2 linked regions of the Arabidopsis thaliana genome follow. The protein of the gene in region 2 interacts with the protein of the main gene of each other region in a pairwise test. Each region holds a gene or a part of one and is shown on either strand. Other genes may lie near its edges. The genes, in order: NF-YC11 and LEC1.

What was found.
Region 1: the proteins of LEC1 (region 2) and NF-YC11 interact in a two-hybrid assay, tested with the Arabidopsis thaliana proteins (one study listed by BioGRID).

The regions. Positions count from the first base shown.
Region 1 is NC_003074.8:3,955,928-3,961,148, reverse strand, and holds NF-YC11 (nuclear factor Y, subunit C11), read right to left. Parts: upstream 3,387-5,221; 5' UTR 3,085-3,386; coding exon 3,052-3,084; intron 2,315-3,051; coding exon 2,242-2,314; intron 2,151-2,241; coding exon 2,057-2,150; intron 1,739-2,056; coding exon 1,604-1,738; intron 1,516-1,603; coding exon 1,458-1,515; intron 1,360-1,457; coding exon 871-1,359; 3' UTR 677-870; downstream 1-676. Other genes in the region: CYSB (cystatin B), read left to right, coding at 58-203, 489-626; AT3G12470 (Polynucleotidyl transferase, ribonuclease H-like superfamily protein), read left to right, coding at 4,364-5,026.
Region 2 is NC_003070.9:7,726,946-7,731,396, forward strand, and holds LEC1 (Histone superfamily protein), read right to left. Parts: upstream 2,705-4,451; 5' UTR 2,627-2,704; coding exon 2,575-2,626; intron 1,470-2,574; coding exon 805-1,469; 3' UTR 632-804; downstream 1-631. UniProt on the Arabidopsis thaliana protein: Component of the NF-Y/HAP transcription factor complex. The NF-Y complex stimulates the transcription of various genes by recognizing and binding to a CCAAT motif in promoters. Acts as a central regulator of the embryogenesis.

The sequences.
Region 1 (5,221 bases), on a different chromosome or scaffold from region 2:
TCAGAGATTGTGGGTTAGGAAAGAGTTTGGTTATGAAAATTGGGTTTTGTGGATCAGGTGAACATGAATCTGGATGGAGGGAAGTTCCCGGAGATGATCCAGAAGTGAAGCATGTTGCTGAGCAGGCTGTCAAGACCATTCAGCAGAGGTCTAACTCCTTGTTCCCTTATGAACTTCTGGAGGTTGTGCATGCTAAAGCTGAGGTATGGCTTTAATTTACTATATACTCTATCTTCGATCTTAATTGCACAAAATGAATTTCAATAGAGAACTTGTCAGATTTTGACAATGTTTTTGCATGAATTTCATCTGAGAAATTGCAAATAAACGAAATCAAGTGTCAGTGAAACCGAATGGTGTTGAAGTTTTAGAAGTAGAAAAGACTTTAAGCAACATATTGGTTCTCCTTGGTATGAGGACTAACGTCTGAGTTGTAATAGTTGGTGATTACAAGATTAATGAGCTTAATATTAAAAACATGGACACAGGTAACCGGCGAGGCTGCAAAATACAACATGCTACTGAAGTTGAAGAGGGGAGAAAAAGAGGAAAAGTTCAAGGTGGAAGTTCACAAGAACCATGAAGGTGCTCTTCATCTCAACCACGCGGAGCAACACCATGACTAGTCCCTCTCCTTTGTTTATGTACTTTTGAGTGTTTACTTACTCTGTAAGATATTTTAACTTCTGATGTAAAACTCTAAAACCTTAAATAACAAATCAGGAGAATAAATTAAGTTTCATAGAGTGCATGCAATCTTTGGTTCATACAATAAATGGAAACAGGAGAAGATTTTGATGACAGAAGAAGCATTTTCTAGACAAACTGCTAAACGCTGCTACTCTATATATCCTATAGTGCTGTTATGACTTAGCCTTCTTCGTCATAATCTTCCTCATCCTCGTCTATCCTCTTACCCAGACTAGCAAGCTGTGCTGGATCCATTTTGCTTATGTCCATCATAGGCCAGCCCGAATACTCCTCAGAGTCTGTTGCTGCAGTTGTGGTTGTGGTTGTGCCTGTGGCTGGTGCCAGTTTGGTCTCGTTTAGGTCGAGGGATTCAGCGTTGAGATCAAAGTCAATGCCTTCTTTGGGACTTTGAAGGTGTTGCTTGGTGTCTTCGTTCGATGCTGCTGTGCCGTCGATGCCTTTCTTCTCATCCTCTTGTGGTGATGACTCTGACGCATGCATCTTGACATTGTCTTCTGGTGGTGGCTGTCCAGAATTGGCGGCTTCTACTTCCATCTCGCGGTTGAGACCCTCTCTTTCGGCTGCTTTTGCAGCTCGTCCACCACGACCTCTTCCTCGCCCTCTTCCTCTACCACCCCTGCCACTGGTCTTAGCACTCCCTATCTCTTGCTGCAGTGATTACCAATATATTCAATGAATCTAAGGAGCTGGGAATAGACACCAAATGAATGATGAAGTATAATATTTCAAGAAGAACACGAGCTCACCGTTTTGCTTTTCTTATATTCCTCGTCACTGTCATTCACTTCATCGCTGATGGGCTTCCTGTTTTGATAAACCATCTCACATCAGCTTGACACGGACTATAAACAAAGAACTAGAACATATGGAACTAAGAGATCAAACATCCAACCTTCTCTTGGAGATGCTGCGATCATCCATGGTAACATCACCATGTCCTTGCCCTTGGGAATGGCCATAGTCAGGCACCTTACTCACAACTTCCCTCAGAAAATCAAACACGTTATATCTTTCCACACAATGTTTTCTGTAAACAACAAAGCACTTTGATAAACATGGATGAGCAAAAATAAGAACTTTATCCCAAATTTGTGGTATAAAATTCTGTAACAGTAAACAACATCCTCTCGGTGTTGGATGCAGTGAAAATAGGCCCTATGAGTTGGAAGCTATTCCGCTTAACAACATCATGTTAACTCTTAAACCACAATATCAATAATTACAACATCTGAAAGCTCTAGAATTTAAAATGCATTCAAGTGAAACCTTTCATGCTCTTTAGATAATGACGATGCTAGCATGCAGAGTTAAAGCAAAAATAAAGGTAAACCAATCTGTTACTTACAGGTGCAATGAGCTCACAGTCTTGGCACCTCTTTCAAGGGTAATTTCATATGTACGATCACAAAGGTCTTGCAAGAACAACTCCAAAGATTTTGCTGTAATAAGAGAACATGAAATTTAGCCAAAGGGTAAAGTTTCCAATAATTCTCTTTTCAAACTGAAGTCAATGATAGCAAGATGACTTACAGACTAAGACAGGCACTGCCAAAGCTATCTTGCCAACATCCTCATCAGCTTGCATAATCTTTTTAATACGAGCCTGAAAAATTGTAATATATGCATCAAATGAAGAAACAGCAACCATCACACAGTGTGTGTGGCAATAATTACAGACTACTAAACGAATTATAAAGCAAATGGTAGAACTGAGAAACACCAAGCACGCTCTGTACAATCACCAATCAGATTATACAAACAAAAATATATTAACAAATTAAATGGAAAGTCAAAATCTGTGAAAAACTAATATTCTAGCCTCAGCTCAAACAAAATAAACCACCATCAACAATAACCAACTTATGAAATCATCTGACGTTTTATTCAATAAAGCTAAACAAAATCTAGCTAGCCAAATTGGAAGCTCTACAAAAAGTTCCAAGCCTATGAAAAAACAATTCGTGTATAACATCCCTGCTTCAATCAACACTATCTAACCAATAGCTGACTGGTTTGTTGATAAAGAACACGTTTCGAGCACTAGTCACCTAAATTCTCGAATTCTCTAATTTACATGAAACATTCCATAGCGGATCTTCATAACACATATTACTATAGCTATATAACAAGCACAACAAAAATTAGGGTGAAATTGACTACTAGGTCATTTGCTAAAACTAATTCGCCAGAAATGAGATACTTAATCTAATTTTCATCGTAGAACACTAATCTAATCCCAAATAGTGTTGGAAATTCGATCTGAAAAACAACAGATCAAAGTAATTTCCGAGAAATTGGACTTCAATTTCAGAAATGATCAATTAGAGACGAAAAACTTACAGCTGGGAACCGAGTATCGAGCTTCTTCCTCATGGTTTTGAAATCCCCAAATCCAGAAATCGTCGAATGAGAAAACGCAAAGCCACCAAAAATAAGAAGGAAAAAAAGGTAAACCCGACCCTTGAGATCAAAAATTGAGGGACGCGAATCTTCTGTACATATACTCCGTTCTAAGATCAGAAAGTAAGTTTCTTCGTCTTCTACTTCATGGATATGCACTATCAGATCCGGCGACGGCGGTTTCCTTGTTACAATCTCCGTGCGATGGAAAAATTAAAATTAAATATATATAATCAAATTAAAGTTTTGGGTCAAAGAAAAAAAATGGGTCGACGACATGGTTATTTAATTAAGTAATGTTAGTTATAAATATACGGCGGAGCACAAAATATAATCGGATTGTTTGAAAAGATCTAACCATACACGTGGCTATGTATTAGTGGATTGTATACGTTTTCTCGTGACAGTATTAATTCTTAGATCTTCATCCACCTTCTCTATTTTTTATTTATTGGATTTTGTTTGAGGATAATGCATCCTTGTAAGTTGTAACACATATGCCTGAACCAAAAAATATGTTTTGGGTTACTTTTTTTTATCACAATTTAAATAAAATAAAGTTAGAATTATTTGTCTTCAAGTTGAATTTAGATACTTATAAACCAAACTGTCGAATTTTAGAAAAAAAAAACAGAAACCACCTTTATTATAAAGTGTGATAAAACAAAGTGGCCTATGTATCCAAAGTTCCAAACAAAATGTTGTGGAATTTATATTTACAACTTTTTTATTTTTTCAGAAGTTATATTTAAAGTTACAAAATTTTGTCAAACCAATATATAGGAAAAAATATCAAGAGTAATTGCGTCATAGCGTTATACGTTGAAAGTTAACTTCATCAGTAATTATGATTTTACATCAGTGAATCATTGTTCGTGAAAAAAACACACAAAAAAAGGTTATGGTTATCTACCTAATTAAGCCCCCAAATAACTGAATAAACTATTTTAGTAAAAAGAAGTACGTAAAAAAGTATTATATTCCATGTCTTCATCAAACCTTTATGGAAATAAAAATAAAAATTCAGAGCCGTAAAATACAGTAATTAGTAAATGTTTTGCGTATACATCTATGATAGGCCTGACGATGTGACAGTACATGCATCTCCATTGTCAACCGTACGATTAAAACTACAAAGATCGACGGTGATTATAACTAGAAACAAAAATGTACCCTATAACAAGAAAAAGAAACCGCTTCTCTTTCTAACACTCGCTCAAAAATTTAGAGAAAGGAAGAAGAAGACAGATCAATGGCTCCGACGATCAAAAGAATCAGAAGTTTCCGTACTCACCAAAAACACTTTGTCGATTTTTTCGGAGACGACTTGATCGTCACCGTTACGCCGACTGCTTCCGTTATCCGCCGCTGGATTCGTAGCGTCCGCTCCTACAACCGTAATCACTCGGTACATCCTCTCGTCGTTGGAATCGGTGTTCAGTGGAGACCGGATAGTTCCGATCCAGATCCACCACCAAAAACTCTCCAGTTGTGCGTCGGTAGTCGCTGTCTCATCATCCAACTAGGTTACAATTACGGTCTCCCAAAAGTCCTCCGCACTTTCCTTGCCGATCCCAAAACGACTTTCGTCGGCGTTTGGAACGGCCAAGACCAGAAAAAACTCGAGAAATGTAGGCATCGAGTGGAGATCGGGAAGCTTCTGGACATAAGGATGTTCGTGAGAGATTCGAGAGGGGCTAGGATGTGTTTTTGTTCGTTTGAACAGATCGTGAAGGAGCGTTTGGGTCGCGTAGGAGTGAGGTTAGATCCGGCGATTTGTATGAGCGATTGGGGCGTTTATAACCTTAACCATTATCAGGTACTTCAGGCGTCGATTGAGTCGTATGTTTGCTTTAAGCTCGCTGTTGAGGAACGTCTCTGGAACTTAAAAGTTGCTGCTAATCTTGTGATTTGAATTTGTTGTTGTTCTTCTCTCTTTATCAATCAACGTCTTCTTCTAATTCATGAAAGTTTTCATGTTATCGTATTTTGTGACTATGAATGTTGACTGGAAAATTAGTACATGTAGACTACGTTTGTAATAAAGGCATTGATATTAAAAGACTATCTAACGTTTTGATTAAAAACAAATACGCTTTGATGAATTATA
Region 2 (4,451 bases):
ATTTTCTTAAGATTGTCGAAGTATCCTAAACATCAACACAAATTAAAGACTTAAAGGGACTTTTTTCATTCAGCCATAAAATTTCAAAAGAGTCTTTACATAGAATAGACCTTTAAGAACTTTAAAAAGCCAAACAATAACCGGAAATTAAACTTGGAACTAGAAGAAACAGAGCAAGCATATGGGTTTCAATCTAACCGAAAGATAACCACCCAATAACCGGAGATGAACTTGAACCAGTTACAGAAAACCATGGCTAAGGTCTTTAACTCTTAGTCTTAGTAATGATCCTTGAAGAAGTGTAGGCAGAAACAGAGAGCGACCAACGTTATGAATCCTTGGAAAAGACAGAGATGGAGAAACCAGAGAGCAACGAGTCAGGATCACCCTAATGAAACTCAAGCACCCAAAAGAAAGCAAACTCAAAGAGGATATAAATCTTCAGAAGTTTGACAACTCAACGAATTTAGATTTTATAATCCTTTGGCTTAGTTGTGTAAAACTCAAAAAAGTCAATTAAACTTGGTTCCTACAATGTTTAGTTATCATCTAACTATGACAGCTTTTGAATTACAAAACCTTTAGATCATGTAAATATATAATGTTGCATAGAGTTTAATCCACAAAACAGTTTGGGTTAAATCATTTGCATATATAAATCAGTTTCTCATAAAGTATTGAAATACAACACTTTTCCTTAAAGAAGCAACATTATATAGAAATGTTATTGATAAGACATAAAAATAAAATATCTATCCAAACACATGTTTTGAACAGATATAAAAATGAAGAATAATTCCATCTTCACTTATACTGACCATAATGGTCAAAAGCCGGCATTCCGTTAATGGAAGACGAAGAGCCACCACCAACACTGGATTCATCTTGACCCGACGACCCGTTTTGGTAGTACCGACCACCTCCCATAACCATGGATTGGTCCAACATACCATAACCATAAGGACCCGGAGGAGGTAGGCCATGAGATGGGCCGTGAAACCCAATACCATTTCCTCCATAGGTTTGTCTCAACGACGGTGGCTCACCTCTAAGTGCAGAACCACGATCGGTCTCTATCTCACGGTACCGGTTAATGAACACGGTGAGGGGGTCCACGTAGTTATCGAACCCAAGCTTGCTCATAGCCCAAAGGATATCTTCAGCAGTTATGGTCTTACGTTGCTCACGTTGGCAACGCTCGTTGGCTTCACCGGTCACGAAGCTGATGTACTCGGAGACACATTCTTGAATCGTTTCTTTGGCGTCGTCAGAGATTTTGGCGTGAGACGGTAAGGTTTTACGCATGATTCTTATGACGTTTGCGATTGGCATGTATTGGTCTTGCTCACGAGCCACACATGGTGGTTGCTGCTGGACCACGATACCATTGTTCTTGTCACCGGCGCCGGCTACTACGACTGAGCTGGTCATTGGGGTTGGGTTGTTGCTGTGCTGGTCCAAGTTCAATTCTGTTCATAGAAAATACAGAGAGAAATTGAAATCTTTAGGAAATAAAAAAGATTAGTTGAAGTAGAAATGATGATTAAATTTGTAGGATACGAATGGATTAGAAGAAAACAAGAGAATCAAGGGACACGTTCTTAGTTACGGACCAATAAGATAAGAGTAAGTTTGTGGGGTCTACATTCTAGACTTATGGACCCCGTTGAGTAGACTGTTCAGATTCTTGCCGTTACGTTTTACATGTATACCAAAAAGCTTTCGCTTAGATTATTAATTAGAAAAACCAAAAACTCAAAATTTGGAGAAGAACATCAATTAATTTATGTAGACGAAGGTATGACTCAATAAAGTAGACATTTATTTCATGTGAAGGTTCCCAATGGTAAATGTTGAAAGAATCAAAAGATTGGAGTTAATGACATCCAGTAATTAAAAAATCAATAGTAAAAGGAAAATTTGGAGAAAATTTCACTTAGTTTTTTTCCAAAAAAATTACTGATAGATTTTGAATAAAAAAACCTCACACTAAAACTTGGGACTAGTATAAGATATATATATATATATATATAGTTTAAATGTTAAGTACTAAAAAAATTTGAGTTTCTATTTTTTTAGTGTTTTTGAATCACATGAACCGTAGATGTTTTTAGACAAGGGAAGAGACAAACGAGAATCTCGTTTTGAAACGAAGAAAAAAACTCAACCGTTACAACAAAGAAAAAAACGTTTTTAGAATCGAAATTTTTTTTGATAAAAGAAAGAAAACGATACTCAAAAACATTCCTGGTACATGCACGGGTATATTCAATGAACACATACGAGAGATTTGTTTAACTAATACCACACCATGGAAATATTTGGATAAAACTTTGACTCAGCCATGATGAAACAATACATATCAAACTCTTGCATGTATGTATATAAAATCGTCTTCTCCGGGCCATTCCCAAAACCTTCACAAATCTAAATTAAAAATTTCTAGAAAGAAAGCATTTAGTTCGTTGTTGCAAAGTCTCATAAAATTCATAAAGCATGTCTCCAATTTTTCATGAGCATATAAATATACATGGAGGCAAGTATATACTGTATAAAAATAGCCACTTAGATTACCAGAGATGGATTTTGGTAGCTGATAGTGAGAGAAGGGAGCTCCACGTTCCATTGTTTCTCTGCCGTCTTTTTTTTTTTTTGTTCTTTATAAAATAATTATTTGAGTGATTTGTTGCATGCAAAGAGAGGTTGATGGTTGAGTGGTTTTATAGAGAGATGATACAAATGGCAAAGGAGGCGGTTCTTACGAGGTCTATATCTCTTTCCCATTGGCTTGTCTCATTGGCTATGTGGCCAGTCAAACTGCTCTTCTCTCATTGGTTGTTTTTTTTCACAAATTACCAAAGTAATTAAGTAAAAATAAAGACTATTAAGAAAGAAAGAAAGATAAGAAGAAGATTTTTATACATATGAGGCTCTCTTTGTTTATATAAATTAAATGTTGTTTAACATTTTCTATTTATTTAGTCAATAAAGTATTCGATTATCGAACGGCTGAGAAAGATTGACGTGACGTTATTTTAGTCATATATTTTATTAAAATTTAATAAAATATAGGTTTCACTAAATTCTTTGTTTCTTAATTAATGAAATTGAAAATTAGTTTTAAAAAGATTCTCTTACTTAAAATGGTAAATTTTGGTATATTTGAATAAATATGCGTTACGAAAGTGAGTTATCACGTTTATTGTAATTTTTATTTAAATTAGCCTTTTAAAGTGTTTATAGGAAAATTACAAAAGGTTAGTACAAGATATTGGTGTTAGATGATGCATGTTACAATTGAATATTGCTTTACATTTTCTAATACATAATTAATCAACAAATAAAATAAAACCAACACCCTAGTAATGGAATGGTGGATAAAGATTTTTGAAAGATGGAAAAACATGAAGAATTTTGGATAGAGTTTACGGCCCAGTCCATGACCTGTTTTGGATCTAGCCCATACTAAAAACAAACCAACGAGAATTAACAAAGAACCAATATTGAATCTTTCCTGGCCAATGACCTCTCATTTCAAAATGAAGTTTAGAACTAAAATAATCTTACGCATATAAGATTATTTTAGTTATCATCAGTATGAAATCTCATGGAACTCTGCTAAAAGTTTTTTTTTTCTTTAAATGTTTCCATTCACTTTGCTTCCCTTAAAGATAAACCATTTTGAACATACATCTTTAGCAGAATCTAGAGAGATTATAAATAAAGAGGCCACATGCAGGTGGAGCAAGAGCAAGGAAAGGATAGCTAAAGAGATAGGATAATACAACAACTCAGTTAGGAGGCGGTGAATTGGTAAAAGTTTCATTGCAATTATACGCTCAACTTTCAAATAATAAACTAGAAGATTTACTTATTCTGAGGTTAAGGAAATATGACTTCTGGTAAAGGAGAGTTTGGTGTTGTCTACCATGATTTTCAATATATTGAACAAGCAGCCCATAAAGTTATCTCTCATTGCAGAATTTTTTGTAAGCTTCTTCGCATACATCATGAGTAGCACCTTTGACCATCTTCAAACATTGGTTTGGAACGCAATGTTTTGATACAAACTTCTATCGTGCTTGAGTAAGATATATACTCGTTCTATATCTTTTACCATCTTTTCAAGTAGTTTTTTCTTTTTTCAAGTATACCAACTTCTTTTTTCATATATAGTATTCTGATTTCTGAGCAACCATTTCTAATTAATTGTAGCTCGTAAGCTCTTTATTAAATTTAACTAAAAATCTTAGTTATATCATTATAAATAACGCATCGCATGTAGATGAAAGTATATAAATAATAACTTGTACACATGCACGTTTGAACAATCCTTAGAACAACCAATATATTTTTATCTGCATTACAACTGGCAGAAAAAAAGATTATGATGCATCTAATTACTTAAATAACCAAACTATATATAATAAGAGATGGAACAGTTTGGTAGA